Alligator mississippiensis: one gene and its partners. The protein of the gene in region 2 purifies or fractionates together with the protein of the main gene of each other region. This does not show direct contact. Links are inferred from orthologs where the notes say so. Each region holds a gene or a part of one and is shown on either strand. Other genes may lie near its edges.

Evidence for each region.
Region 1: the proteins of protein argonaute-1 (region 2) and TNRC6A purify together in Homo sapiens (affinity purification with mass spectrometry; 10 studies listed by BioGRID and IntAct, with this or other methods). This does not show direct contact. The link is inferred for Alligator mississippiensis from reciprocal best matches to the Homo sapiens genes AGO1 and TNRC6A.
Region 3: the proteins of protein argonaute-1 (region 2) and TARBP2 purify together in Homo sapiens (co-immunoprecipitation; 4 studies listed by BioGRID and IntAct, with this or other methods). This does not show direct contact. The link is inferred for Alligator mississippiensis from reciprocal best matches to the Homo sapiens genes AGO1 and TARBP2.
Region 4: the proteins of protein argonaute-1 (region 2) and TNRC6C purify together in Homo sapiens (affinity purification with mass spectrometry; 5 studies listed by BioGRID and IntAct, with this or other methods). This does not show direct contact. The link is inferred for Alligator mississippiensis from reciprocal best matches to the Homo sapiens genes AGO1 and TNRC6C.

What each region holds. Positions count from the first base shown.
Region 1 is NC_081836.1:58,591,847-58,598,989, forward strand, and holds the start of TNRC6A (trinucleotide repeat-containing gene 6A protein), read left to right. Parts: upstream 1-3,900; 5' UTR 3,901-4,047; coding exon 4,048-4,052; intron 4,053-4,173; coding exon 4,174-4,221; intron 4,222-7,143.
Region 2 is NC_081829.1:8,966,116-8,974,170, reverse strand, and holds the start of protein argonaute-1, read right to left. Parts: upstream 3,129-8,055; 5' UTR 3,045-3,128; coding exon 3,020-3,044; intron 1-3,019.
Region 3 is NC_081838.1:8,695,072-8,702,866, reverse strand, and holds the start of TARBP2 (RISC-loading complex subunit TARBP2), read left to right. Parts: upstream 1-4,642; 5' UTR 4,643-4,736; coding exon 4,737-4,795; intron 4,796-5,159; coding exon 5,160-5,329; intron 5,330-5,419; coding exon 5,420-5,525; intron 5,526-5,917; coding exon 5,918-6,001; intron 6,002-6,150; coding exon 6,151-6,325; intron 6,326-6,552; coding exon 6,553-6,670; intron 6,671-7,137; coding exon 7,138-7,265; intron 7,266-7,346; coding exon 7,347-7,539; intron 7,540-7,773; coding exon 7,774-7,795. Other genes in the region: pleckstrin homology domain-containing family A member 3, read right to left, coding at 749-804, 1,128-1,261, 1,495-1,538, 1,843-2,013, 2,300-2,436, 2,836-2,991, 3,249-3,365, 3,849-3,888. UniProt on the Homo sapiens protein: Required for formation of the RNA induced silencing complex (RISC). Component of the RISC loading complex (RLC), also known as the micro-RNA (miRNA) loading complex (miRLC), which is composed of DICER1, AGO2 and TARBP2.
Region 4 is NC_081831.1:15,731,041-15,738,297, reverse strand, and holds the start of TNRC6C (trinucleotide repeat-containing gene 6C protein), read left to right. Parts: upstream 1-4,191; 5' UTR 4,192-4,268; intron 4,269-7,219; exon of another isoform or gene 7,220-7,257. UniProt on the Homo sapiens protein: Plays a role in RNA-mediated gene silencing by micro-RNAs (miRNAs). Required for miRNA-dependent translational repression of complementary mRNAs by argonaute family proteins.

The DNA of each region.
Region 1 (7,143 bases), on a different chromosome or scaffold from region 2:
TCATTCAATGACTGCTGACAAGGAAGGCTAGGTGGCAGAAATGGTTTCTATTTATAATGATATTTTAATTGAGCTGTATATACTTGGATTGCATCCCTTTCTCTCAGCAGTCATGTATCACCTGTTTCCTTGGGCATCCAGCGTATGAGCTCCTCCGCACAGGCCCATCCATGCGGAGTCTTCTCGTGCAAACGAACGTGTAGCTCTGAGCCCACAAGTATAATCTGGTAGGGGAAGGGAGGGTTTGCTTGGGGGTGTTTGCACATGGGGCCTCTGGGCACCACAGTAGTAAAATATACGTGTTAAATCATAATGTCAAATTCTTGCCATTATTTCTTTGTTTTGTTCTTTACTTCCACTTTCAGATTCTCACTGTGCCAATATTTTGGGCTGCAAACACAGCAAGATGTCATTGTTTGCCTAGGATAATATTTTCCAGTGGATTATTTAAGGTTCTTTTGGCCCGGTGTTTAGCAAATGATGCTTTTCCAAAACAAGGAATTGTAGGACCCAATTTAAATGGAGAAGCATGTTCATTGCAGGATATGTCACGGGTAATTCCTACCTGCCTAGTAAGACATATGGTCCCCATCATCAGAGTCTCTGAATACCTTACTTGGCCAATGAAAAATTGATGTGAATACCCATATGCCAATAAGAAAATTCTTCACTTTGGACCTGATTCGCTTGCTTTTTCACTCATTGCTTTGCATATCCTAGATTGGTGGTTTGAAACGTGTGATCTGTAATAAGCTGATTGGTGCTGCCTCTGGCACCGTATTAACATTCCTCCACGTTTAAAACTTCATAAATTGCACTTCCACAACAGTTAAAACTATACTAACTGCTCTCCTCATCCTAACGGACCATGTAAGCAATTGCTGAAGTTGCTGCAGGGGTAGTATCTAGCTGTGAGTGGGTGGGGAGGAATGGGGTGGTGTGGGGGGGGGGGTGTGAGAGAGAAATCATGAATACGAGGGGAAGTTTCTAGGAGACAGTTCTTGTATAGTCCGTAGCGTGCAACACCTGGCTTGGATGCTAATCTGATGCCTCAAAATAAAGCCATATCCACTGGAGGCAGAAACGGTCCGTTTGGATGTCTGGTCCATCCCCGGCTAAAGCCCTTTTGCTTCCTACAGCGTAATGTTTTCTACTGCTTGCACGATCTACATTTAAGAGTCCTACGGTTTTGGACTTCTGCGTCTTATCCTAGAGAGGTTGTTCCAAACAGACACAAATCCCCTGGTCTTTCCAAGGCTTTAATTATTCATTTGTTTGTTTACTCTTGTGAAGCCTAGTTACGCTTCTTGCTTTAGACTAAATAAATCCTCTTTTTTTGTGTTGAATGAATGCTTTGGTTAGAGGTAGGTGCCCCCATGCGGACACTGATTCGTTTCATTATTCATATTTTTTTTTCTCTCAAAAGTTAGCGCCTTTAGACCACCAGCTGTTTTTGTGCGCTTCCTTTCTAGTAAAGTGTTGTCAGAACTGAAACCAATAGTAGAGGTTTGGTTTCTTTCTGAACCTTGTCAAGAAGATTCACCAAGTTCGTGGGCTGCTGCCTTGAGAACTGCAAGTCTGCTTTGTGGCTGCACCCCCCCGGACGGCCGGTTTGCTGTCAGACGAGCTCTGTCTCGACGCTACTGTTTGCAAGGTCTCTTCATCCCATTATACCCCTTAAAACCCAGGCCTAGCTTCCTTTATGTCAAGTCATTAAGATCATAAGAACGGCCATTTACTGGGTCAGACCAGAGGTGCATCGTGCCCAGTCGGTGTCCCCTCCTGGTGCACCTTTGACCTCCGCTCCCGTCCCTGGTGTGTTTTTCATCGTCCCAAGCAATTCATAGCGGCCTTCCTTTTCAAGGGAGGCTCATAGCGTTTCTTAATGGGCAGTGTCCCGTGGTAAAGCAACAGATAGACCTGTGTCACGCAGCTCCGGCTGAGAGTCTGGCTGCGTTTCCCCCCACACCTTTCCTTTTATGTACTCCCCATGCATGGTCCCACCAAGCCGCGGGATCTCTCGGTCAACCTCCTCCTGGCTCTGGCCACGCTGGTCATCTGCAAGATGAGGAAGGAGGCTGGCCGGGAAGTGCCCGGGCGAGGATGGTGCTGTTGTCCTCTCCGTCCTCTGCCCACGTCACCGCCGGCTCCCTCGACTCGTTCAGCGGGGCAGCAGGTGCTAGGATTGCCAAGAAGTCTCTAAATCCCCAGGAGACGGCTGAGAGGCACCCAGGAGATAAATAATAGGGCATTCATTAATAAACATGAAATGTTAAATTCATTAGTAAAAATGAAATGTTGCATCCGACGTATACAATAGTCCAGTGGGTTTTGAAAATGTCGTAGAAATGTGCATTTGCCTTCCCGACGCAAAGTCTACGCGCCGTAGCCCACGGCCGATAGATGCCAACACGTGGGCACGTCCGTCGGCGTTACGGAAACCTCCTGGAACAGATTCAAAGGGAGTTGGCGCCCCGAGTGGGCGCTGGCTGGCGCGCTCTGCTCTGTGTCCCCCTCCGCATCCCTGGTTTTGAACCCGTAACCCTCGTTCCCGTTCTTGGTTTCTTTTTCATTCGTCCTAAGCAACCCGTCGTTGCGTTCTCAGCGGCCTCCCTCTTTAAGGGGGCTTCTAGACGTTCACGGTGGGCCGAGGCCCGCGTTCGCTGAGCATGCCAAGAAGCCCGTGTTGCACCGAAGGCTGGGGGGAGAGTGACCCGGTCTGAGCATGGTTTCCCCTGCTCCTCTCCCCCTTGCAACCTCTGACGCGGAGCCCCTGCCCCTCGCTCCCCGCTCGGCAGCGACCGATGCCCCTTTCCTCCCAGCACGTGCCCAAGCCAGGTTGGCCATCGTAGAGGACAGCGCGGTTGTCCTTTGTCCTCTCTTGAGACGAAACCCGATGCCTTTAGGTCCTCTGTTTTTCTCTTCAAGACAAAATGGCGCCGGGTTTTGTCTCAAGAGAGGACAGAGGAGCAGAAAACCAGCCTGTCGTCTTTGACGGCCGCCCTACCGCCATGTCGGTCTAAGGCAGCGGGCCCACGCCAGCTAGGTTGGCCGTCGTGGAGGAGAGTCTGGTTGTCCTCTCTTGATACGAAACCGGACACCTTTACTTCCTCTCTTGAAAAGAAGAGAGGACGTAAACACATTGGGTTTCGTAGCAAGAGAGGACAGAGGAGCAGAAAACCGGACTGTCGTCTACGATGGCCACCCTACCGTCGGGCGGCCACCACAGAGGACAGCCCAGTTGTCCTCGGTCCTCTGTTGATATGAAACCCGACGCCGTTATGTCTTCTGTTTTTGTCTTCAAGGGAAAAACAGGGGATGTAAAGGCATCAGGTTTCGTATCACGAGAGGAGCAGGAAACCGGCCTGTCCTCCATGATGGTTGCCTAACGTTGGGCGGCCGTCATCGAGGACAGGCCCGTTGTCCGATACGAAACCCGGCAGCTTTACATCCTCAACTTTTCTGCCCCAGACACAAACAGAGGACAGCGAGGCGTGGGGTTTCGTATCGACGGAGCCGCAGAACAGCGGCCGGTCCCGTACAACAGTTGCTGCCGGATGAGAGCGCTGACACCGTGCCCGGCAGCCTTCACCCCCGGGGCTTCATGGCGCGCTGTGCTCAGATGAATGACGGGGGAAGGCCGCTTTTCATTCTCCACGCATCGTGCGCCTATTTTGGGGTGCAATGGTGAACCTCGGGCCCAGGCGCCCCCGACCACCATGCTCTGTGGCGGTTGCTAGGGCGGTTGCCAGGGCGCCATGTTGGCTGTGGGGGTCCCGCTGCCCCGCGGGCCTGTGGCGGTTGCTAGGGCGGTTGTCAGGGCGCCATGTTGGCGGGAGGGGGAGGCGCCCCGGAAGTGCTGCCCGGGCGGGGGTTTCTCTTCCGGGGCGGCCGGGCCGGACCCGGCCAGGTTAGGAGGAGGCAGGAAATGGCGGCGTCGCTGCAGCAGCAGCTGCCGGGGCCTCCCGCTCCGCCGTGCCGGGCCCAGGCCGCCTAGGAGCCGCGGCCAGCGCCGGGCCCGGGCCGGACTCCGAGCACTTTACCTACATGAGGTGAGGTGCGGCGCGGCGGGGTGAGGGGGGCGGGCAGGCAGGCGGGCGGGGGCCCGACACCGACCGCCGTAACGACCGCCCGCCGTAACGACCGACCAACCGCCCGGCCTTTCTGTTGCAGAGAGTTGGAAGCCAAAGCTACCAAAGACGTGGGGAGAAAACTACGCAGGTAAGAAACAAACCGCCCTGCTCCCGGGCCCGGGGGCGAGCGTGTGCGTGAGTGCGTGTGCGTGCGTGTGTATTTGTGTGTGCGTGCGTGCGTGTCCACACAAGATGCCGACCGCGCCGTCACGGAGTATTCGTGTGTGTGTGTGCAAAGCAACAGACACGCGTGCACCCGAGTGCGAAGGGACGGCGTCGTCGAGCAGCTGTGCGGCGGCGCCGACCCCGCGGCCGTGTGTCGCTCCCGCGCGGTGGTGTCATGTCGCGCCGCGCCGGAGCAACGAGCGACCGCGCGGTCGGTGGAGACGGATTCACACGCGCGCGAGTCCGTCGCCCGTTTCTTTTTGGGGGTTTTTTTTCCTGGAGACCGGCTGCGATGTCTGCCTGGAATCGCAAGGTCACCGGTTGCAAAAAGGTTTAAAAGAAGGGAAGGCAGAAATCCCGGGTTTAGACGGATCGGGCTCGGTCGGCTGTGTAGTCGCTCTGCACACGCGCGTGTGCAAATCATTGGTGGGAAGGGGGGGGGGGCATGGGGTTCCTGCTCCGAGGAGGAGCCCCTGGGAAGACGCAGCGCTGCAGGTCGGCTCCCCCCAAACTTGTCCAGTCGACCCCGCCTTAACGTCGATGAACCAGCCTTTCCCACGAGCTTCGTACGAGCTCTCTGCTGTGAAGCAACCCGTCATCCTCTGTATCCAGGCATCGAGGCCACGATTCTGCCCGTGACCAGTGCTGGAGATGTGCTGGGAGGCCGAGGGCACGGGAGTTTCAATATTGATGACTTAGCATGTGACGCTAAGACGCCGACACCAGGGTTGTGTATATTGCTCTTGTGAAAAGGCACGTGCCAGGTGTCCTAGTAGGACGATGTTTTTGCAGATACCTGCAACTCTGCTATCACGTTGGCACTGTCTTTCACTATATTCAGTTTTTCCTTCTTTTGGTTTTCCTCCATGCCCTCTGTAGGGCTAGTTACGATGAAGGGAGTTGCGTTGGGGAGGACTGCCTGGTTCAAAACTTGGCAAAAACTCAAGGGCAGCTGCTAGGACCGTATTTTTCAGGTCCTGTTTTTTTGGGGGTCTAGTCTATTTTGAAGTTTAAGTTAGCTTTATAACAACACTGGAAATTGAAGTTTCCTGTCCCTTGAGTATATCTTTTTTTTTTTTGGTAGCACCATACTCAAGAGCTGGCCTTTTGTTTAACTGTTAAATGCTATTTTATTTGGGGTGGGGTTACAATAGAATTGAATTAAGGTGCAGTTTGTATAGAAGCCTGAAAATAAAGGTAATAGGATCCTTCAGAAAATACTTTAGGGTCATTTTCAAATTGAAGGGAACAATTCTTAATCGCAGCTTAAAAACCATTTGTCTGTATACAAAATTAAAGTACGCCTAGAAAGAATGTAAATAAACTAAAACATAAGCGTTCCCTTTATGGAAAGAATACCCAGTCTATATGGTGTTAAATATTTGCTGACACGCCTGGTTTGGCTGGAAGAGCAAAGTGTTGGTTGAAGATGCACTGAAATATAATTAGTCACCAAAATGTGAAAGTCCACCAGTGCATTAAGAGAATTGTCCTAATACTTTTTGGAAAGTTTTAATTCAAGTAGTTGCCCACATCCTCTGCAGTGTTTGAATTCAGTTGCCTTGGCATTGCACAAAACTTTCAGCAAGATCTCTTTTGAAGTGAAAAGAAAATGCAGCTTATAATTGTAAGATTGTGCCAGGAACTGCTTACAAAGCAAGAAGGTGGTGGGGGGGGACAATACCTGCATGGAGCGGAGAGGAGGAGGAGGAGCAGTCCTGGTGCCAAGAGTAGATTCTGCGATGGAGGAAAGCTGCTGCTGCTGCTGCTGCGTGTCACTCTTCTGAGGGCGCTGGCAGCAGCCAGGAGGGATGAGGAGCAGGGTCCTAGCACTTGGGAGAGGAGCATGAAGCTTTTGAATGAAGAACAACGGAACGAGCGGATTAGGAAGGAAATCATAGATGCCACTCCAGCCCCCCTCAAAGTCTCAACATTTCAGTAATAGCCATTCTGTTGTTAATAGTTGTCAGTTTTTTAATACTAATAGGCCACTTGTCCTGTTGCCAAGTAACTTGTAACTATCAGCAGTTTATTCCTGATGACTGTAACCCAGGGATTTGAAACTTCAAGTTCTCGATAAGGATCTTAATTTCCAATCTTCATCCTCTTCAGAACGTTCCATCTTAAGGAGCTAAATACTACATGCTAATATTCAGTTAAACATGGGCCCCCATCTTAATTGCAAACTGTAAGTGGTACCACGTTACAAATAATATCTCAGAAGCGTGACACCTTGTTTTGATAATGCTAGTGATATGGCGCACATGCTGGCACCTTCTACAGGGGAAAAATGTGAAAGATCAGTGCTTGCCAAACAGCAGTGATAGAGAAACTGAATTAAATTACAGCCTGCAAGGAGGTATTACAAAGAGCCAACAGTTTTAAATAATGAGGAATTGTTAATTTGTATATTTAAATAGCACTTACATTTTGGATTGCCTATACCGCCCTTTAAAATATTTCCTTATCAGTACTTTAGACTTGTATACAAAGCTTCTAAAATAAGATATACTTATGGTTCCTTATTTATTAGTGCTAGAACTTTTTGCACCTGGTAATATACAGGTCTTTCAAAGCAGCGTTCCCTTTAAGGCCTCCATATGTGTTTTGTTAAAATTTCCAAACAAACTTGTGTCTCGCATTGGTTCCCTGATGACCTCTGGTGAGGTATTTCAGTGACTTTTGGGGGGAAGGAGTAGGGAGAACTGTTTTTAAGTAAAATAAGGATTTCATATTCTTTTGGGAAGATAGCAATCATTTGTTTTGAAAGAGAAGTTGTGGGAAAAGGCACTTCTTACTGAAGATAAAATTGTGCTGTGCTTCAGAAGTTTTAAGCAGAAAAACT
Region 2 (8,055 bases):
TGCTGGTAGTAGGGCCATAAAATGTTTGGGTTTTTTTTAATGATTTGGAACTGATCTGGCTCATTTGGCCTGGGACACTAACATTTTTCCTTAAAAATAAATAATAAAAAAAATCTCAGTGACCCACGCAGGCCTGATGTGCACAAAGCCCATTGTCTCTGACACTGCATCAACATTGCTTGAAGCTTCCAAACTTGGCAGAAACTGTAAAGAGCTGGCCCCTCCAAGACAATCCTGGAGAGGTGCCAAGGGGGTTTCTCACTGGGGTCAAGTGCAGCTGAGACATGTCTACCACTGCAACAGCAATAAGAGTAACACTGAGAACCGCATTTCTCCCAGTAAGGTTTTCACAAAGGTGCCCACGGCACACTGTACATTAGGCACCAAGTTACTGCAGCACTGTGATAACCAGAGGGTACTGCTCCAACAGGCATTACCGTTCAGTTAACGTGGTACATGTCCAGACCAAACTGTTCATGGGTTTATACCAATAGCCAGTTTGGAATTACCTATCCCACCTCCCAAAACAAGACACTCTTTCAGATCAAGACAAGACATGATGGCCCTAGGGACAAGATCCTGCTTTGATTTTAATGTTAACCATCACTCCACCCCCATCCCAGTCCCGGCCATTAAAGGTTTCCCCTCGATTTATGCGGGTTCTTTATATGCGAATTCGCTCTTATGCGATGAGCATATTTAGACCTATAATTCGTTATATGCGAGGTAAGTTCACTCTTATGCGATCAGCATAGATGCCCCCCTGCCCAAACAGGTAAGTGTGTGGGGGGAGGGGAAAGGGCCGTGGCCCCACTCACCCCAGCCCCAGCTATATCACACACAGGCTCAGCAGAAGAAAAGAATGCAGGTCTACCCTGACACACAGATTTTCCTCAGCACATCTCAAAGCACCTCTATGGGAGGTACGGCCCTGCCCCTCTTTATCAGGTAAGAAACTGGAGGCAGAGAAAGGAGGAGCGACTTACCCATAAGCCACACAGCAAGTTGCTGGTGGAGTCAGGAGTGAAAACCCAGACTCCTACTCACTTCTAGGTCATGTCAGGCAGAACATGAATAGGCTAGTATTAAGAACTGACACATCGTTCTCCCCAGTCCAGACACAGCTGAAGATGTTCTTGCATCACACTTACAGCACCAGCACACCAACTCACACTTTAGTATTTCCAAGTGAAAGTTACTTTACCCCATGCAATCACATTTTAACAGGCATCAGGCTCAGCCTGGCTTCACGAGTCCAATGGAAGCCAAGGACTCCCCCTCTCCCCCTGGTCTTGTCAACCCCTTCCCTCTATTTCAAGCCACACGATACAACTCAGAACTGCATTTGAGATCAAGTTGTTCGCAGATGCCGCATTAAAGAGAATTAAATGATCTGCAGAACCGTACGGAAAGAGAAATCCAAGTCAAGTTTGGAGGGGGCAGTTTTAAAAAGAATTATTGAGTGTCTGAAAAAAGGCCAACGATGAGACCATTTGTTAGCTGTTCCCGTTTAACTGGGCATGCTGGGGGGAGAACAATGTTGATGTACCGAGATGAATCTCTTTAGCAACAGTCCCTGCCTCCCCTCTCCAGCTGTCAGGCATGCAGAGAAACCCCCAGCTTTGCGCATGCCTCAAACCTCAGAGAGACAGAAACCGCTTCATTCTGTCACCAGAAAGCAGCAGCAATTGGCCCTTGTGTCCTAACAAGAGAGCGTTATCGTTCCCACTTCCAGGCCAGGCTCTTTTTGCCACCTCTTACCCGAGGCATCTTCTTTGCACACAAAGACAGAGGCTGGGTAGGGAAGAAACAGGGGGGGGCGAGATAGGTTTGCCACCCCTTGAAAAACAAGTCACTTCAGAGGTCTGGTGCCATAACAGAGCCTGTGACAGTCCGGGACTGTGGCAGTCGAACTTGTGTGTACACCCAGCCTTCAGCAAGGACACGCACCTCCTGTTTGACTCCTGCACTGCCCTTCACAGGGGCCCAAGCCCCCCAGGTCCCCTCCCCACCTCATGAAATAGCACAATGTCTTCTTCCCTGCTTAGTCAGCAGCCCCCTCCTCTAAAACCAGCTCTGTTCCCAGCACCCCATGAAGCCCTCACTGGGCACCACAAAACTCCCAGCTGGGAAGGCAGCTTAAAGGACCCCTCCTTTTAGAGGGGTTAGAAGATGTTCTAGGGGTTAGAATGTTTAGGGGTTAGAAGATGTTCTAACCCCACACAGCAGAGCTGCAACCCCTTGCTGGGCCAGCTACATCCTGCACCCCCTCCTGCAGCAGGTGAAGCAGGTACAGCCCCTGCACTATCCTCCCCCCAGTGCAGCCCTCTCTCCCTGGAGAAACCCCACTCTTGCAACACAGTCCACTCACTGCTGCACCCCCACCCCACAGCACCCCTAACCCACTGCATAACCCTGCACCCCAAGTCACTGCATCTCCTACTACAAGCCCCTACTCCACTGCACCCCCACCCCAATGCAGTGTACCCCCACCCCACAGCACTCACGACCGCACCGCACCCCCTACCCATTGCACTGCACTGCCCACGGCATGGCACCCCTAACCCACCACAGAACACTGTATCTCCGACTACAACCCCCTACTCCACTGCACCCCCACCCCAATGCAGTGTACCCCCACCCCACAGCACTCACGACCGCACCGCACCCCCTACCCATTGCACTGCACTGCCCACTGCATAGTGCCCCTAACCCACTAGAGAACACTGTACTACACTGCATCTCCGGCTGCAACCCCTGACTCCACTGCACCCCCCACCCCAATGCAGTGTACCTCCACCCCACAGCACTCGCAACCGCACCGTGCCCCCTACCCATTACACTGCACTGCCCGGCTGCATGGCGCCCTCTACCCCACTACAGAGCACTGCACTCCCACCCCACTGCACCGCCACCCCCCCGACCCACTGCATAATACTGCACCCCACTACACCGCGCTGCACTACACCCCCTGCCCCACTGCACTCCCCACCCGGTGCCCGGGGCCCTCGCGCGGTACCTGCTCCCGAGGGTCCTGCTTCCATCCCATCCACCCGGGCGGCGGCCGAGCCTGGCTGAGCGCGGGGCGGAGGCGGGGGCGGGGGCGGCCACACCGACACCTCCCGCTGCCGCCGCAGCCTCTAGGCAGCCTCCTCCACGCCTGGGCCCCAGCGCGCAGGCGCGGCCAAGCAGCCAATCAGCGCCGCCGGCCGGGCCGGGCCCGGGCGCCAACAAAGGCGGGGGCGGGGGAGGCGCCCCCTGGCGGGCGGCCCCTCAGCGCGCGCCGCCATCTTGGGCTCAGAGCGAGGCTGAGCAGCTGCTGCAGGGCTCTGGCAGTGTAGTGCAGTGCATGCAGTGCATGCAGTGTAGTGTATGGACAGGCTGCCTGGGCAGTTATCCCCAAATAACCTGCTCAGTCAACTTGAGCTGGGCAAGCAGAGAACAGCCAGCTCCCACACTAATGCCTGGCTGCACCCCCTTGCCCAGCACCACCGTGGGCCTCCTGTCTTTCTGTGCGTGGGGTCAGAAATGGAGAGACGTGCATGCTGTTGTGTTTCTAAAGCCCTTCGCCTCGAACCCGCCTCAGGGTTCGCGTGAGCTCGGATAGATCCACGCACGGCGAGCTCGCATGTGGACATGTCCCAGGCCACCGCCGCGAGGAGCTGCGCTCGAGGGAAAGCCTGCTGAACCCCCCCGCCGGACGCTCGGGACAGCCTGGAAACATCCCACGACTGCGGCGTTTCTTTTAGCTCGAGAGCGAGCGAGAGACGGAGCCCCAAGGCACACATTTTCCCCCGGGGGAAGTCGTCCATCTCTGAAAACAAGCAGTCATTAAGTGGCTCATCGAGCACCCCGGTCGTTACCATCCCGCTGTAACGATGGTTGCTGCGGCAGGAAGGCCGGGGCAGAGTAACGCAAAGGGAGGAGGCAGTCGTGTGACGTTGAATCTGCAGGGGACGTGGAAGCGCCTTCCCGTATCTCTAGGTCAAATCTGTTTCTTCAGGTGGGACCGGGACATCTGATCAAAATGTCCTTATGCTCATGTTACCGAGCCACCCATTAAATGACTGCCATAGTAACTAAGATGCCCTACAGCACTGTCAGCTCACAGAAACTGGAACAGTTTGTATTTCCTAGGGGGATTATAGCCTGTTTGGCAGAGGATTTTTTTTATTTTGAGACTCATTTTCACTGCCAGTTCATTGAGTGAACAGTAGGGGATGTGCTTATTTATTTGCAGCTTTTATTCAGTTTTTTGGTATGCGCCTTGTTGGCACATGGCAGACCCCTTGGTTGGTAGGACAGCAGGGGCACGTTTGCTGGTGTCGTGGCTAAGAGCACTGCAGTCATAAAGCTGTGGCAGACGAAGGTCTCTGAAAACTTGAGTATCTTGTGATGCTGCAAGCAGTGCATTTTAGGAAGTGAATCTGTCCTGACTTTGCATAGCAGCCGATGCTATGGGTGGAAGGGGGGGTCCCCGTCTAACTGCAGGCCTGAGACTCTGGTGTCTGCATCTAACTAGATGCCTTCAGCTGCCACACGTCCCATTTCAGAACCGATTCACTTCCCATCCCACCAAAGCACTGCCAACCAGAGATGACAGGGACCCAGCTAAGCAAAAGGATGCCGATGTTCCCACATGGGAACATTGATACCTGGTGTATCAGTGCCTTAGGCAAAGGAAGGTCAAATGGCAATCCTCCCCTCAGGGAAACGGAGGTGAATCTACATTAAGGGCCTCACCAGGTTTTAAAACAAGGAGAAATGCAGTTCACTCTTCCTCACTCTAGCTTGAGCAGTCTCCATGGCTGCTGCAGTGATAGCTTGTATTGTGTTCCCTTGAGGGCTTTACTTCCAGGATGCCCAGGTTGGAAAGGGGTCACAAAAATGAGAAGCAGAAGGTGTTTGCTGTAGCACCATGCTGGATGATTAAGGTGGCCTTTCATGATTTGCACTGGTATGGATGGTGATCACTCATTTTCCTTAACACGAAGTGATCTAAAATTGCAAGGAGCACTTATCCTGCAGTTAAAGGACAGGACTGAGAAGCATGTAAAAGAATAACATGCTCTCTTGAGAGACTTATGATGAAATTTGCATGTCACAGATGGCAGGATCCAGTAGAACCAGAAGCTGGTCTGGATTTGAATTAACACAACTGGCCAAAGGCAGTTTCTGCACCAAAATATTAAATGAGCTCTCCCTAAATAACTTTTCAGAGTTATTTGGAATGATGACCTTATGTGTGACCTTACCATAAGCAGCACAGAGCTCGCTGGCATCATTTCAGGTGAATTCAATGCAGCCCAGGAAATAACTGAAAATAAGGACCAGCGTTCATCTTGGTTTTAAATCATGGGTCATGGAATTTAGCAAAGGAAAATATACTCAGAACAGGTCTGTTTGCTTCAAGCTAGTTTTAGAATTATAGGAAATAGGGCTGCAAGGGGCTCTAACCCCTCTTCCTATCCCAGGGCAGGCTCAGCTTCATTTAAAACATCTGGACAGATGTTTGTTTCAGTAACAGATGACCCAACCTTCCTAGGAAATCTATTTCAGTGCAGTCTGGTCAGTAGTCAGGGCCTGTTTTCCTATTTGCATAGGAAGGATTTATGGAGAAAACTCCTGATTGGATTAATGGGAGTTACCCAGATCAGTGATTTACACACCAGCAGCAAGAGAAAGCTATCTTGCAGTTGGATTTCTGAGCATACCTCAGTGCTGAAAGTTCCTTGGAGCCGGTAGCAGCAACAGCATCTGAAGAGCCAGTGCAGGGAGTGATGTGTGTTTGTGTTCACAACTGTGCACTTGTTCCTCTGCCTTGCACATAAATGCAGAACCCATTGCTGATGTAATTACTGAGAGTCAAACTATGGGAAATGAAACCCTGAGAGCTGATCATGGCAGCATTTTCCCACCAGAGACATCTTCCTCCTGACCTCATCACGGTCTCAGGCCCTGATCCTGCAATCTTGTTCCTGTAGATGGAGCATGAGTTCAAGGCAGACCCTGCCCTCAACCAATACTAGATGGCAGAAATGGGGCCTTAGAACCTTTTTTTATAAAGTAACAATTATGGTGCAGGGTCTGTTGTGTTCAGCATCTCCTTGGCAGCATACCACCATCCCTGCATTAGCTTATTTTGTACGACAGAAGTTATAGCTGTATCTTTATCTTTGTGGGCTTTGGCATTTTTATCAATTTGGCAGCTCTTGGCCATCAGAGACATTACCAGGGATCACTATGTGGAAGTGGATCTCGTCGATCCCCACTGCATTGGCTATCAGTGACTAGAAAAGGAACCTTCATAGCTCACAAATGTCTTCCAAGGTCAGTCCTCAGATGGGTAGAAACTAATTGAAAATATGTCATTGCAATTTGGTATAAGTGGAGCAAGGGGTGGGGAGTCAGGACTTAGGAGTTCCATTCCTGGCTCCACCACCGACTCCGTAATACACCCTTGTTCCTCAGTTTAACCCTCATGGAAATCAGTACCAGTAACCAATACATTCTTTCAACAGAGGGGGAAGAGCATGGACCTCTGCAGCTTAAGGAAGAAGTGAAGCAGTATCATGCAGGGTGAAGAACAGACTTCTGTATTTCAGGCAGCCCCAAGTCAAAACATTTTCTATTCAAAAGATTTGCCTACTCTTTCTGAATATAGATGGACAGATGAACACACAGATAGTGGTGTCTTAGGAAATGGGGGTTAGCAATAATCAGTGATCCAGTCATTTCCACTTCAACTTGGAAAGCTAGAAGGAGCCCTCTGAACAAAGGAGACTGACTGGAATAATTCATCAAGTGATGATGCTTTGGCCAGTCTGGTGGGCATCCCCAAACCATTGAAGCCTCAGCTACACATTTGACCCTCAAATCACTGGTGTTGTGATGACAGCTGAACTAGAATGATCCAGTATTGACGCTAATCTGATTAATGGTTGACAATCTAGCCTTTTATTTAAACTACAGATCCATGATTGCTGTGCTGGGTGCAGTCTGAAAAACTAGTCCTTGAGCTGCTGTTTCCCAGCAAGGAGGTAAGACTGGAATCCTGTTGGCTGGAGTAGGGAGCATATGACAAAGTGGGGGGACAGTAGTTAGAGGTGCAGAAACACCAGTCATAGGATTAATTGGAGAGAAGAGGGGACCACCTCTGTTGCCCTTAAGCAGTGAAAGATCACCCTTGAACCTGACCAACTTTTAAAACAGATAAGCTTTAGTGTGGTTCCATTAAATATGTTGCCAAAGCTGCTAATCCATTTTATGCTTATGACTCCAGCCATAAGAGCTGCTGCTCTTATGGCAACTTCAAATACAAATGGTGTGAGTACCAGGTTCTGTATCATTCTAAAAGGATTTAATCACCTACACAAACAGACCTAGCACTGATATTGTTAAAGGAGAAAGAAGTTCACTCTTCTGAAGGGTAATCATACCAGACAGAGCTGCATTAGCCAAGGGCAGTGGTGACACCAGCAACATCATCAAGTTTCAGTTAACCAGACATGGTGTCACGTTGGGTTTGTGTCATTTAAGTTCTCAGGTACAATTTCTACCAATCCTACCATAGTAGAAACCATTATTGGAAAAGGGATTGTACTGGAATTGTCCCTACCTTTACCTGTACTGCCAGGAAGGCTTTGGGGGTATTTGCTGCCAAATTGTGGAATGCTTATTTTACTACCGAGGACCTGATCCATAGATTATAATTACATGCAAGAGCAACAGGGATGATGGAAATCCAGAGGAATGATTGATGGATTTAGCCTGCTTTGGACCATGGTAACCAAGCTACATAGACTCCAGTGATGATAGTAAAGATGACAGCAAGCAGAAACCCATGAAATACAAGCTGTTTGGATCATGTCATACCTCAAGGAAGACCTCAAAGGACAGAAGAACCTGGAGAAGATGGTTGTTCTTACTTCCAATGTGTCCTGTCTCCAGCTCTCTGCAGTTGCCATGTTCCCTTTTGTCCCAATAGCAACTCACTGCTGGAACCCAGTTTCCCTCTGCAGCCAATATTCCCCGCAAAGTTAAATATATTGAATA
Region 3 (7,795 bases), on a different chromosome or scaffold from region 2:
CCCTGCCCCTGGCACCAGGATGCACAGGTGGGTCCCCTGCTGTAGCTGCAGGCACCGTGGGGCTGGGAGGAGCTGTCCCTTCCCAGCAGCCTTTGCCACACAGGCACCATCCTCCATGCAGGTTGGCACTTCCCTGCCTGCAGTGGTCCCTATACCCTGGGTGGGGGGTGCTGGTTGGAAGTAGGCTGCAGCAACTGGGCCCCACCCTATGGTGCTTTGTGGGGGGCAGGGGGCACCAGGCTAGCTCTTGTGGGGACCCCAGGGTGGCAGAGCTGGGGGCAGGGGCAAGGAATGCAGAGGGTGCCCCCAGCTGCTCCAAGGTGGGCTCTCACAGGGGTCCAGCCCTGCTCCGGCAGGCAAGGGGAGTCGTTTCTATGAGCTGCCTGCGCTCCTCCCCCCGCCGCCTGGGGCATGTTGGGCGCCTTGGGGGCCCCATGCCGGTGCCAGAGGGCAACCGCAGCCAGCTCAGGCCTCTGCATCGCGGTGCGGGTCCAGGCTGGGCAGGGAGCAGCATTTGGGCACCAGACCCAGCTGTGCCCCCAAGACCCGGGTTGCAGGGCCTGCCCAGGCTCAGGCACTGAGCTGGTGCCCACTGTCCCGACCGCTCTGGCACACACACAGAGTCCTTTTCTTGCTCGAGGCAGCCCCTGGCACTGCCCCAGGCACTGAGGGGAGAGGCAGGTCACCAGTCTGCCATAGCGGCAGGGGGGTAGTGGCCAAGAGCAGCCCCATGGTCCTCAGCAGGGGCTCACGGCCGCTTGGCTTCACCATCCGCTGATGTCTCCTGCGCTGGCAGTGGAGCTTCTGGGAAGGCAAGGCGAGGGGTTAGGGAGACCCATGTGCTGGAGGGCTGGCACAGCCCCTCCCCCCACGCCTCCAGCAGGTCACCATCCTAGGGGAAACCGAGGCATGGAGAGACCTTGCCCACAGCCTCGAAGCAGGTTGGCAGCCCAGCCAGGCATGGACCCCAGGAGTCCTGGCTCCCTGCTCCCTTCCTGGCCATGGGGTTGGAGACAGCTAAGCGTGTCCCGGGGGCAGCTATGCCCAGGGGGGAGGGTTGCAGGGCCCCCCAGTTCCCAAGACTGGGTCAGAAACCAGCTGGTCCAGGGCCCACGCCTGGGGCCTACCTCCCCACTCCTTGGCGCTAGGGCCTGGGGGGGTCCCAGGCTGAGCACGGAGTGGCACCATCTCCTCCAGGCTGCGCAGCACCGTCATGGTGCCCCGGGCCGGCGCGGCCCGGGCCCGAGCTGGCTCCAGCACCCTGCAGGAGGGGGCATGTCAGCTGGGCATAGGGTACAAAGCTCTGGGGTGCCCCATGCCCCCCCCCTTGTCCGAGGGGTCAGGAGCTCAAGACAGGGCTCTTCTCCCTTCTCTGGGCATGCCCAGACCAGCTGGCTCCTGGGGGTTGCCACTGGATGCCTCGCAGCCCTCCTATACCCCACCTTGCCCACAGCTGCCCACTTGGGGACCCCCCTCCTCCAGCCCAGTTCTCACCTGTCGGGCGACGCGACGCCTGTGTGGCTGAGGGACCGCCGTACCTGTGGAGACAGCAGGAGCCCATCAGCACCCTGGACCAGAGCCAATGGGAGGTGGAAGCTGCCCAGCCCCCGGTTCGAATCCAGGCCCCACCCCCAGACCCTCCTCAATAGCTGCTGGGAGACTTCTGTCCTGCAGGGCAGGTAGAGAGACCTCCATAACTCCCCCAGACGCCCAGGAAGCAAAGCATGCTGGGTAACCAGGTGGGCCACTGCTTGGCCCAGTACCCACAAGGGCTGTGCCCCAACTGCACCCTGCTCCCAGCAGCCCAGCACCCCCGACTACCCCCGGGGGGGCTGCTCTTACCCTGTGGGAGTGCGGGAGCTTGGTACCCACGAAGTCAGAGGGCAGGGGGGCGGGCGAGGGCGGGTACAGCTCGGGGGCCAGGCGGGCATTGGCGAACTTCATACACTCCTCCAGCGTGGACAGGAACTGGCTGCAGGTGGCGCGGAGCAGGGAGGAGGCTTCGTTCATCCTCTGGAGGACAGAGCTCATCACAGAGAGGAACCCGACCCCCCAACCCAGCCTCTCGTTCACAGGGAAACTGAGGCACAGGGCAGGGGAGCCTGCTTGCCTCAGGTAACTGCTTCCAAGAGCAAAGGAGGGATAGATGCCACCCGCCCCCCGCCAAACTCCTGCTTTAGCCACTATACTCCACTCCCCTGCCAGACACTGCTTAGGTGGTTGGACCTAGCCTCTGCCAGCACCCCGACAGAGCAAGTGGCGGCAGGTACGCTGCCCCCACCCCTCTCCCCCCGGGCACCTCGACATCCAGCGGGGCGCCGTCGTCTCGGGGCCGCGTGGACTCCTGCATGTCCAGCACCTGCTGGGTCAGCGCGTCACAGTACAGCCGCAGCTCTGACAGCTTCCGGCCCAGCGACTCGGTGCTCAGGGGCGGGTCTGGAAGGTGATGGACACAGTGAGCCTGGCCCCTGCCCCCTCCCGCAGAGCGTGTAGGGGCAGAGATGCACCCACTTCTGGGGTGGAACATTCCAACCTGTAGCAATGGGTGCATTACAGGAGGGGACGGGAAGTGGGTAGAAATGGTCCTGGGGAGGGCCGGGGAGGGGGGCAGCTCAGCCCCACATTGAGGAAAGTGGAAGGGGCTCATCAGACATCAATGATGGAGCTTGCAGCACAATGCCCCCTGCTGCTGCGCTGCGGTACTGCAGCCAGGCACCCCCAACCCCCTTTGCCCCATACTGCAGCCCCCCCCCAAAAAGACCCAAGGGGGAGGCACCAAGTGCGTGTCCCCACCCTGCCTCAGTTTCCCCCTGTGCTATTCCAGCCCGGCCCTACCTTTCTCCTTCTGGCCCCTGCTGTCTCCCAGGCAGGCCTTGGAGCTGCCCAGGGCCACCAGCCACTTCTGCCGCTCAGCAGCGCCTCCCGCCTTCAGGTAGAAGTACTGCTCGCCGGGGATGGTCAGCTCCATGCGCGTGGCGTCCGTGGGGTGCACTGCGGGGCACAAGGCGGCACCGGGGGTCAGGGCTCCCGTCCCAGTGCCGACAGGCGGCTCAAGCAAGGGACAGGACGGGATGCCTGGGGCCCCGCGCGGCCTCCAGACCCAGCTCAGCACTTCTGCACTCCGGGTGCGGCTGGGTCTGGGGGGGAACGTGGCAGCCCGAGGAGACCCCGTGCCATGACGGTCCCCTCCTGCAGTGGGAATGGCTGGAGCAGGGGCAGGGGGGGGGGGTCCCCAGGCTTGCACCCACCTTTGATCTCGCAGACGGCCATCTTGATGCTGCCCTTGCTGCCTTTGCCCACGTCGTCCTGCGAGTCATAGTAGGACAGGATGCCGTTGTCCAGCACGAAGTACCGCGGCTGCCAGCCTGGGGGAGGAAGGAGGCAGAGGAGGGTCGTGCCCCGGTGCAGGGAGCCCAGGCGCCTCCTCGCTACCTGGGGGGCAGCCCCAGTCCCACGGGGGACCCCGGCCCCGAGGTCACACCCCGCTGGGGAAGGAGCACCGGAGCCCCGCCTGGTTTCTGGGTGGGGGCAGGGCTCAAAGGTCAGGGGTCAGCTGTCCTGGTGCCGCTGGGGGTAGTGGGGTAGAAGTCAAAGCTCAGGGAAGAGGAGGGGGCAAGCAGGACAACTGCAGGGGGGGTAGTAGGGCTCAAAAGGTCACAGGTCAGGACTGGTTGGGGGCATTGTGTTCTGATCGGGGTCAAAGGTCAGCAGAGTACTATAGCCTCGCTCCCTTCCAGGGACCGGGGTCAAGGGTCAAAGGTCAGGGCCGCCTGGGGGATGTTGCGGAGGGCGGGGCAGAGGTCAAAGGGCGGGGGCAGGCGCGGGGGCTGCCGGGACGGCGGCGGTACCGGACAGGTAGTTGGTCCATTTCAAGAGCGCTCCCTCCATCGCAGGCGCAGGACGCGGCCCAGGCGCCGCCGCGCGCCCGGCCAATCCCCGCGCGGGGAGGGGGCGGGCCCCACTGCTGCCGGCCAATGAGAAGGGCGGCAGGCGCAGGGGGCGAGGCCCGAAGGGGTACGCACCCAATCAGCGGGCCAAGCCGGGCACCAGGAGGCAAGAGCAGGGGGCGGGGAAGAGTGGTCGCGCGCAGCCAATGGCAAGGCTCCGCCTCCATCGCCCCGCCCCTTGCACGCAAAGACCTGTGGGAGGCGTAGTCCCGACCCCATTCGGCTCTCTCGAGAAAGCCGCAATCCCGACATCCTCCGGCCGCGCGGGGCATTGTGGGCAACGCAGTCCTCCCAGCAGGCCCCACGGCGCGCGGGGGGTTGTGGGTAGGGAAGTCCCGCGGCCCCGGAGCCTGCCGTTCCCAGGATCCACCGGGGCGGCGCGCGCGGAGCTCTCTGGGTAGCGCAGTCGCACGTGCTCCTCAGCCAAGCCGCGCGGGGCATGCCGGGAGCGCAGCCCAACGTTCCCTCAGGCTGAGCGGAACTCCCGCTCCCAGGATGCCCCGCGGCCGCGCAAAGAAGCCCCTGTAGAGCTCCCCCCTCCCCCCCAGCCAATGGTCGCGCGGCCCTCCCCGTCCCAGCATGCCGCGCGGCGGCGGGCTCGGGCGCGGGGCATGCCGGGCAGGCGAGTCCACCCGGCGCGAGGAGGCCTCGCTGTCCCAGCCTGCCCCGCGCTCGCCCCCGCCAGGGCCCCCGCAGCCATTGCGGCGGCGGCGCGCGCTGGCGGGGGCGGCGGCGGGGCCGGCGGGGTGCGGGGCAGGCACGGCGGCGCGGGCGGGGCCGGCGGGGGGAATGAGCGAGGGCGAGGAGGAGGAGGAGCCCCGCGCCACCGCCAGCGGCGCCTGCCCCAGGTACGGGGGCGGGGCCTAGCCTCGGGGGCGGGGCTTCCTCCGAGGCGGGGCCTCACGTGGGCGGGGCGTCATCGGGGGCGGGGCCTGGGCTGCTCCCGGGATGAGGTTGCCGGGGCTTCTTCCGGGGGGCGGAGCTTCTCTGGAGGGGCGGGGCTTCTCTGGGGGGCGTGACTGCATCCACGATGAAGGCAAGGCTTTCCAAGGGGGCGGGGTCAGAACATGGGGGCGGGGCTTAACTCTTGGTGGGGGGCGGGGAGCACAGTGGGGCAGCCCCCTTGCTCTGCTGGGGCAGGATCGGGCCTCCCCTGGGGCTGCTGGGGTGGGGGAGGATCTTGCCCCCGGCCGACCCCTCCGCGCCCCGCAGCCTAGAGCAGATGCTGGCCTCCAACCCGGGGAAGACGCCCATCAGCCTCCTGCAGGAGTATGGGACGCGCATAGGCAAGACGCCCGTGTACGACCTGCTGAAGGCGGAGGGGCAGGCGCACCAGCCCAACTTCACCTTCCGCGTCACCGTGGGCGACATTGGCTGCACCGGTCAGTGCCCCCCCCACCCCGCCTGGCGGGGTCCGGCTGGGACCCCGGTGTCCCGGTGCCGGCCCCGCTCCAGCTCTGTGCCCCCCGCAGGTCAGGGCCCCAGCAAGAAGGCAGCCAAGCACAAGGCGGCGGAGGTGGCCCTCAAGCTCCTGAAAGGGGGGAACATGCTGGAGCCGGCGGTGCCGGAGGAGCCCAGGTGAGGGGTCTGCGGGGGGGCGGGGGCTGCTCTGACCCCCCCCTCCCAGCACCTTCCACCCAGCCGGGGGGGAGGGGGGGAGGAAGATCAGGGGGTCTTGGGGAGGGGCAAGAAGCCGACCGTCCAGGACACCTGGGTCTCTGCCCCCAGGGGGCAGCTCGGGTGGGTCCTTTCTCTGCCCCGTGCCTCGCTTTCCCCAGCTGCGGTGCTGGGACGTGGGGGTGGAGGAGCTGGGCAGAGTCCCGGGTGCCAGCGGGCTTTGCCTCAGCCCGTACTCCTAGCACCAGGGTGGGTCGGGGTGGGGTCCTGGTGCCATCGCGCCAGGTGAGGGCAAGCTGTGGGGGGGCAGGGGTCGCCGCCTGCTTTAATGATTGTACCTTTTATTTTCGAAGCTCTGCTTTCTCCCTAGAGCCCCTCCCCCCGCTGGACCCTGCCGTGGCCCCCCCCGCGCCCGCCCTGCCCGCTGCCTCGCCCAGGTAAGGGCTGCCCTGGGGTTGGCACTGAGCCCCTCCGCACTCTCAGGGGTGGAGTAAGGGCGTTGCAGGGACTAAACCTGCCCCCCCCCAGCTCCACGGGGCCGGGTCTCCCCCCCACTACTACTTGGGCTTCCTTGGGTCTGTCATAGGGGCTCATCCCCCACCCCTGCAGCAGCCCCTTGCCGGGATCGGGGTGAAGGGCCTGCCCGGGCAGGTTGGGCCCCTTCAGCGCCTGCCCTTGTCTCGCTCAGAAGCTCCCCGCTGGAGATGAAGGCACCCGTGTCACCCCAGCAGTCCGAGTGTAACCCTGTGGGTGCCTTGCAGGTAGGCTGGGGGGGAGGCTGCTGGGGTTCCTCATCCCCTTGGGCTCCTTGTTCCAGCCTGGCCTAGGCAATGTCTCCTACCTGGATGGAGTATGGTCTCTCAGGTGGAGCTGGAGGACAGGAGGTCTTTGTGCTTCAGTTTGCCCTACCTGCTCTGCTTGGAGGCCGGTGGGGCTGGGGGAGTCCCAGGGAGGGGCCCACTTACCCCACCCACATCCCTGCCCCCAGGAGCTGGTGGTGCAGAAGGGCTGGCGCCTGCCCGAGTACACGGTGACGCAGGAGTCGGGGCCGGCGCACCGCAAGGAGTTCACCATGACCTGCCGCGTCGAGCGCTTCATGGAGATCGGTAACCCCAGGCAGGGGGGCGGGGGCCGGCTTGGCCTCAGACCAGTGACACGCAGCCCCTGGTGTTAACAGAGCTCACCAGGGGCCTGTGGGCACTGACCCCATGCCCTCCTGCTGCCCCTCACTTCCGACCCACAGCCCCCCCAGCCCTGGCGGTGACCCTCACTCCTGACCCGCTGCCCTCTGCCCCCACCGGCCCTGCTGGTGCCCTTCCCTCCTGACCTGCAGCCCCTGACACCCCCCTGCCAATGCCCCTTACTCTTCACTCCCAAACTGCAGCCTCCTGCCTCTGCCAGTGCCCCTCATTCACCACCCACAGCCCCTTGCTCCTCCCTCCCCACAGCTCCCTGCCCCCCAGCCCTGCCGATGCCCCTCACTCCGGCCTTCTCTGCGCGCTGTACCAGAGTTAACCCTGCATTGCCAGGTGCGCAGCAGCGACATTATACCCCACCTTCCTCAACCTTGCAGGGAGCGGCACCTCCAAGAAGCTGGCCAAGAGGAACGCAGCCGCCAAGATGCTGGTGCGGATCCACAATGTGCCCATGGAGCAGCGCGAGGGCAGTGAGGCCGAAGCCGAGGACGACCAGTTCTCCATCGTGAGTGCAGGGCTGGGGTGCATGGGGTAGTGGGTGGGGATGGGCATGCAGCTCACACTCCCCTCTTTCTACCTGTGCCAGGCGCCAGTGCCCAAGCTGGACGGGCTACGTGGCCGCCTACCCGGCTGCACCTGGGACTCCCTGCGCAACTCAGTGGGCGAGAAGATCCTGCACCTGCGCAGCCAGCCGCTGGGCGCTCTCAGCCCCGGGTACTGCGGGCTGCTGCAGGAGCTGTCCGAGGAGCAGAGCTTTGCCATCAGCTACCTGGACATTGGTGAGGTTTCCCCCCTGCACCCTCCCAGCCCCAACCCCAGGACCCTTTCTTCCCTCCCACCAACCCCCTCTGGGCTGTGTCTCCATCCCTGCCCCTAGCACTAGCTCCTGGGTCCCTTCTCCTAAGTCCCATCCCCCGTAGAGCAGGGCCCTCCCCAGCCCAGTGTGGTCCCAGCCGCTCTAGATCTCTGCCCTTCTCAATGCCCCTGACCCTGACCCCTGCTTCTCCCCACAGCCGAGCAGAGCCTGAGCGGCCT
Region 4 (7,257 bases), on a different chromosome or scaffold from region 2:
AGCACCTACACAACCAGGCTAAGGAGAGGAAAGCATCAATACAGACAGTCAACTGCCCCAGGACAGAGACAGTCTCCGCATGAGTTTTGCCTGTCAGCAGCTAGAGGTGCAGGGCCCCAGAACCCCCCTGCACCCATCTCCTCAATAGCTGGCAGGTATCGTGGCCACAGCAGGGGCCACCATCCCTGCAGCTGTCACCTCGCTGCGCCTTAACACACCCAGTGTCACCCATGTCACGAGTTTTGCTTGTCCGCAACTTGAGGTGTAGTTCCCCCCAAACCCCTGCACCAATCTCCTTGAAACTTGGCAGGCTTTGTGGCCTCCATAAGAGCTACTATACCTGCAGTTTTGACCCCTCTGTGTTGTAACACACAGCCGTGACAGGAGTTTGGCTTTCAAGAATTTGGGGTACAGTTCCCCCCAAACTGCTTCACTGATCTTGAAGTTTGGCAGATTTTATGCTCTCAGCAGAGGCTACAATCCCTGAATGTTTCATCCAAATTGGACAACAAACAACAAAGTTATAGATATTTCATTGATTCCCCATTATACCCTATGGCCAGATCTCCAAGGTGGCTCTTGGCCCAATCAAGGTGGAAACGCGGTCCAGAGCTCCGGATCAGATCGTGGCCACCCGAAGCGGCTGGGTCCAAAGCCGGATCAGATCGCTGCCGACTTGCACAGGCCTACTGTATTTTAAAGCCCTTACAAAGCCACCCACCAGGTACATAAAGAGCATAGAGGCAGCTACAACAGTTAATGGGCTCATCTACGTGAGATGCTAAAAGCCCATTGGACTAATTCTACTGTGCATTAGTGCAGCTGGCAAAAACTGTGCTAATGCGCAGTAGATTAGTCCAATGGGCATTAAGTGTCACACAAAATGCCAGTTACAGTGCATTTAGTACCTGTTATTCTAGACACTAAAATTAATGTGCCATAATTACAGTGCATTAATGAATGTGTAGACACACAGGTGTATTCCAAAATAGTACCTTGAGCATCAGCACTTGATTTCTGGAGGGAATAAAAGTTGGACAGGGCGCTCAAGAAAATATGTTATTCTTGATCCTCTTTGGAAAGTTTCATGGGATCTAACTTCAGCTGGATTTTGGTAGATGGGATCTCAATTTAACATCATTAAATTGAGCATCTGTTATGACTGTAATCAGTACAGAAACTCAAGTGGTAGTTGGGCTGTATGGTAGGTGTTAGCTGTAAAGATGGGTTGGCAGGACAGCTGTTAATGTTTTGGAATGGATGGGGTCAGAAAGCAGATATCATGCCTCAAATCATTAACCAGAATAATTTAATGGGTCTAAACCTCAATCAAGTGGCAGCACCTGCAAAAAAAAGAGGCCTTGAAGGTCAGGCTTCAGGAACTGTGTGTCAATCTGAAAGACTTTAACAAGGACATAAAGGAGATGAATTGAGAAGGAAAAGAGGAGATCTCTATACATGGCTACAGTAGTTACAAATTCAGTATGAGGTTGGCACTAGTTGTATAAACCCTGCATAATCCATAGAGGTGCAAGGATTAAGAGTCAAAGAAGGAAACCCCCTTTCCCTGTAATATTATCCTAGCTGTGAAGACTGGAGGTCAATTGTCCCAGGTGAAGCTATTTGAAGCAGCCTAGCAGGAAGGGAAATCTGCTGGGTTGAGTAATTGTCATCCTGTATAAAAGAAAGAAGAAAAAAAGAGGTAAGGAATTGCTTTGAAGAGCCTGTTGTATTGGGGTGAATATGTCTCTCTTTCTTTCTTTCTTTCTTGTAAAAGTAAGTTGAGTTGGTTTCCAATAAAGCTGGTATTGCTGGGTAATTTTGTGGTGGCTTTGGTATAGGAAAGGAGATTGAAAATAAGGGGGGGGGGGGTTCCCCCCCACTTCATCTAATTTTACTTCATTTTCCCCCTTTACAGATCATGTAAAAAATATACTGGTAAATCTGATGCAAAAATAAAAGAAGAAAATAGAGACTAAAGAGAATAAGAGTGTTATAAACCAGCTTTGAATCTTTCTACATTTCCACTGCGAAAGACCCATTACATAGTTAAGCTACAGTATAGATGGGGCCAAACTATACCTTGTTAACTAAAATAATGCCATAAACATGTCTTGGTTCTAGTTAGCATGGGTTAAAAATCCCGGTTATGTTTCCTTGTGGGAAGCTCTGAAGGAAAAAATTCTTGCCTGCTTGCTTGGGAGTGTGGGGAGGGATCTAGTATTTAAACGAGAAATGGAAACAGAATTCTTAAGCTTCTTCTAAAACTCTTTCGTTTCTAAAGTTGTTGGTTTTTTTTTCTTGTTGAAAAACTAGAAACCAGCCAATAAAAACGTTTCAGACTAAGATTGTCTTGCCAAAATTAAATACTGTCTGATTTGGCAAAAATGCTTTGATGGGAACACTTGACCATTTCTAACTCCAGGGCTGTGACTAAGGCCTGAACTTATTGGTTGAGTTCCCTCCTCCCTGCCCTGTCTTTTTTGTTCGTCTCTCCTAGAACCAAACCTTTATTCGTTTTCTCAACGCAGTCTTCTTTCCCATTACCTAAAGGTCTTTGCTTCTCTTGAAAGTTCCAGCATTTCTAGCTAGCGGGCGTTTTCTTATTTTACAACCAATATAGAAGTGGTGTTTCTCATTAGTCAATGAGCTGACCAGCATGCCTATACGGGGGGGGGGGGAAGGCACTTCAGAATACGTTTGTAGTTTTGAGTCTCAAAACCATATATTCCATCTGAAGTCGGTGACAACTGAGAGCTCGCAGCAGCTCTTGAATTTGAGTCCCTACTCTCCCACTCACATCAAAACTGGCACTGAGCATGTAAACCAGCATGGGGACTGTAACAAAGTGCAACCGTCATTTTAAAAGCAGTTACAAACCTAGCATAGCTGACTCCCAAATGCAGCCCTACAAAAATGGAGCTTTTAAATGCGTAGTCCCCAGAGGGATGCTGGAAACTGAACTGGGTGGGAAGTATGTTTGGATAGGGGCTTGTGAACAAGCTCCCTTTTCTCTGAGTAGAGTTAGAGACCAGGGAAGAGTCCAGACGGGAAAGTCATGTCTCCCTAGCTTTCTCAGCTGAAGGATCGGGCTGGGGTTGTGAGCCCAGGATATAATAGCCTCTGCTCTGCTCTCTAGGATGCATCTCATAGCTCATTCACTTTTATTTCAACATTTACGTTGCTGGAGCCACCAGCTCTGGCCATTTGAAAGGGAACTGTGGAGTTGGATGAAGCCAAGCTTGGATCGACACGAGAAGCCTTAGGCATCGCAACATTTTCAGCCTTGTCTGGAGGCAACATCCTCCGCTTAATGGTATTCCTAATTTTCCTGCCTGTTGGGTAGGAGCAGCCAATTTGTCCCACAGGTGCCAAAAGCCCAGTCTGAGGTGGCTGCACCAAAGGCCATAATGGATGAATTGCTGGGCTGAGGGGAAGCCAGAACAAACTAAAATTTGGAGGTTTGATTTGGCATCAAAGCTGAAATCCCCCTGCCCCCAGAAGGCATTCTGGATAATCAGCATAGTTTGATTTTTATTTAATTTAATTTAATTTTATTATTACTATTATTTTTACCTGGGTCTTCCAGGGAGAGCCCCTAAAACATAGTATTGCCCAAAGTCACCTTACTCTGTCTAGCACTGCTGAAACTCTCCTGTGCTGGCAGGGAGAGCTAAACTCCAAAATGGCAGACTGAAATGCCTAAAGCAATGTCCCTCACTCAAATACACGAGAGGGAGTGTGAGACTGCCCCTTGGCTTTTGACCTAGTCCCTTGAACTTGGGGGTCTGGTTCATGATATATGAAGCTGGCTGCTTAGCCTAAGCAAACTAAAGGAACTAGCCCAGGGCAGGACTGATCGATGTAAACTGACCTTTTTCTTACGTACCTGATTGCAAGTTCAGTCTGGCATTGATTCCACAATGCCGTTCCCTGAAGATAAGCTCCCTGAGCTACAAAATAGAGTCTATCCTTTGTTTTCTGCTGCCACCCTCCAGACCTCGCATACAGTAATAATAGCTCTCCTGTATTACTTAGGAGGAGGCTTAAGAAGCAGGTGAATTGAAGGGTTTGGAGCCCTGGGAGGGGAAATTCTTGGGAGTTTGTTGCAGATCCCTGAAGTAGCTGGAGCTGTGGGAATAGATTTGATAACAAAGGGTATCCAAGGACAGATGGTGCAAGGCTGAGGAGACACAAGTAATCAAGTCTCAGGAGAGAGTTAAGGAACAAACAGAAGAAAAGAAGAGATCCCAGGCTTTGAAGAGAGGGTGAGCTTATACCTGAGGGTTACCTTTCACTAAGTTTTCTGTGAGCCTTGAGGGGGACTGTGGACCACAAAGGGCAAGGACCAGCTGTCGGGGATGTTGTATACATTTGTTTGCCATGGAAGAGCTGGATTTTTTTCCCCTCCCTCATTTTGCCAAAATTACCTGCTCATCCTGGTGAAAAATGGAGAGTGGCTGCTGCTTTGGTAATGGAAATAGATGGGTTATTAATATTGTAGGAAGGGTTTTGCAGATTCACAAAACATGGATAGAAAAGACTTAAATCTACCCTCAGACTAATGCAATTTTTTTCTTCCTCAAATATTAGCAGAGCACGCTGTCTAGTGTTTGTTCAGTTAAACATAAGCAGTAAGTCTGTAAATGTTGGGGGGAGGGGGTTGATGTCTTGTCTTCATTTTCCCTTATTTAAGCATATCCCTTCAGTCTTCATTACACCAACCTGTACCCCTCTAAATGGGTCCTTTGCATCTTTAGGTGTTGCATGCTGCGAGCATATTCCCTTCAAGCACTGTCAATCAGAAAGCAGTGCCTGTTTAATAAAATAATGCATTGCACACAGTAAACTTCCGTGTCTCATGTCTCATAACACAGCTATGAGGTAGGCACTGGGTTACCATATTCCACTGTCCAGGATCCTGAGGGAAGATAGAAAAGTGATTTGTCTAAAGCCATACATAAAATATGTGATAGAGGAATAAAACCCAGGATTTCATATCATGCTCATCATCACTGTAATATTTGAACACATTCTAGTAGCATATTAAGTGATGTGGCTAGCATGTCGCATGTGGTTCATCTCTGTCTCTTCTCGCCCCGCCTTGTCCCCCCAAGGGGAAGCATTATGTGCATAGTACGGTAGTTTGTTTTGGTAGGCTATTGGTTTGGGGTTTTTTTGTAAAATGCAGACACTGCTCTGTCTGCACTAGAGAAAGCAGCTTGAAGAAGTGTGCCTTGCACTTAGAATGGGAAGGGATGAAGTTTCTCTCCTTTTGTCGTGTACCCATTCCTCTAATCATTTTCTTTACCAGTCCTTTCTTCTCTTTCCGATTGCTCTCTTTTGAGATTAAAAAAAAGAAAGCTGTGGTTATTCAAAGTGGAAAACCTTGAAAATAAGAGCGTTTTCAATGAGCATTTAAAAGTTAGCAGAGAGGTTTTTAAAAATCTTTGTTCTTGAAGGAAAGCATTTGTTTGCAAAGCAGATTGGCAGTCCTGTTTTGTTCTGGATGTAAACTGCTTGGTATATAATCTGAATTTAACAGTTACCAATTAACAGGAAGATTGGTACAATAGCAAGGGCAATCACACAGCCAGGGTGGGATTTTATTTTAAAGGTGAGTTTAAGAAAACAAACCCAACATTTTAAAATGTGTTGAAGAAATTGAGAGTAAATGATGTTATATTTATAACACCCTACAGCTGAGTGCTAAAGAGTATATTTGGTGAGAAAGCGAAAACATCACAAGCAACAAAGTCAACTACTGGTAGCATTCAGTACAACTGCAGCACTTGACTACATAGGGAGGATGAAAGGGGACTATGAGCCTGATAGAAGAGACTTGAGGATGGGATGCATAAGGAGGATAGCATTCCAGGGAGCTGGAGAAACAAGAGGAAAAGCAAAATATTTAGAAAAAATGTTGGAGAAATGAATTTTATTAAAAAAATGAGAAGTTGGTAGGAGTAGAAAATGCTGAAGTAAGAACAGTCTGATCAGGATAATAGTGGGGAAAGCAAGGTCCAAAATGTGCTGTCAATATTTATGGTTCTTTGACTTCTGACATTAAATAATTCTCAACAATTAAAGAAGGACTTAAAGAGTATTTGCAAAACAGGTCACTGTAACATATATTTTGCAAGTATAGTTGCACATAGTTCCATAATCCAAAACGTAAGGTGAGAGAACAATGTGGCAACATCTACCAGAAGTGGGGCAAAGTGAGATACTTGGGCCATGTCATCTGGAACAAACTGAGTGGCCAACGCCAGTAGGATGTCAAGAGCTCCTTCTAGTGCTATGGTGTGACTACATCAAGCCTTCAGCTGTGTACACCCGAGTTCAAAGTTTCCTTAAGATCACAAGGAAAAAAATAAGTTGCAGAGAAGGGCTTAGAACTGGACTAGATGGGGATGCAAAAGACTCACTATTGTTGGGGATTGGCAAAGTACCAGCGGGGCCACTGCTGGCATGGTGGTATAGGAATAGAGCTCTTTAGTAGTAATATCCAGGTGCTGGGCGGCTTTGGTGTAGCTTTGCAGGGCTGAGCATGTATGAGTAGGGCTGCGCGCAAATGGGAGCGGGTGCAGGACCTGCCTATATCACATTTTACACTTGCCTCCGTGATTCAACCTAAGCAACACATTCACTTAAACATTATTTGAAACGTTTTTTCCTCTCCAAGCCCTAACCATCCATTATAATTGGTCATTCCTTCTTCTCCTTTGATTAATGACATTTGAGTGAGAGGGTGGAGAATATACTTTGAAGTTATACACAGAGCTTTGATTTTTTTTTTTTTTAATGGTTTAATATTTTGGCTCATGCCACATGCAAGCAATCTCCGTATGCAAAACAAAATGCTCCCCAGCGCTGGCTCCTTTGAGCATGTCCTGTTAACTTCCTACGAGCAAAACCCTTTTGAACAGCCATTTCGGCATGTGTGAAATTGATTTCATATCCACCCTTCTCAGTGAAAGAAAATGGCGGCACAGAGCTGTGGGCTTTACAAGCTCCTCTTTCTTTCTCTCTCTCTTTATTTTTGAGATATCTTATTCTCACCGCTTGTCTCAGCTGTACAAGACAGATGACTTTAAATCTCTCTGATGCTGTGTCTGGTGCCTGCAGGTTAGCCACACTGACTTAACATGCAGTTTCGACTCTGTACCTTCTGGTGAGAAAAACAATAGGAAACAAATTTACAACTGCCCCTCCCCAGGTAATTTGCATAGCGCAAAGCCCCCACTACCTCCCACC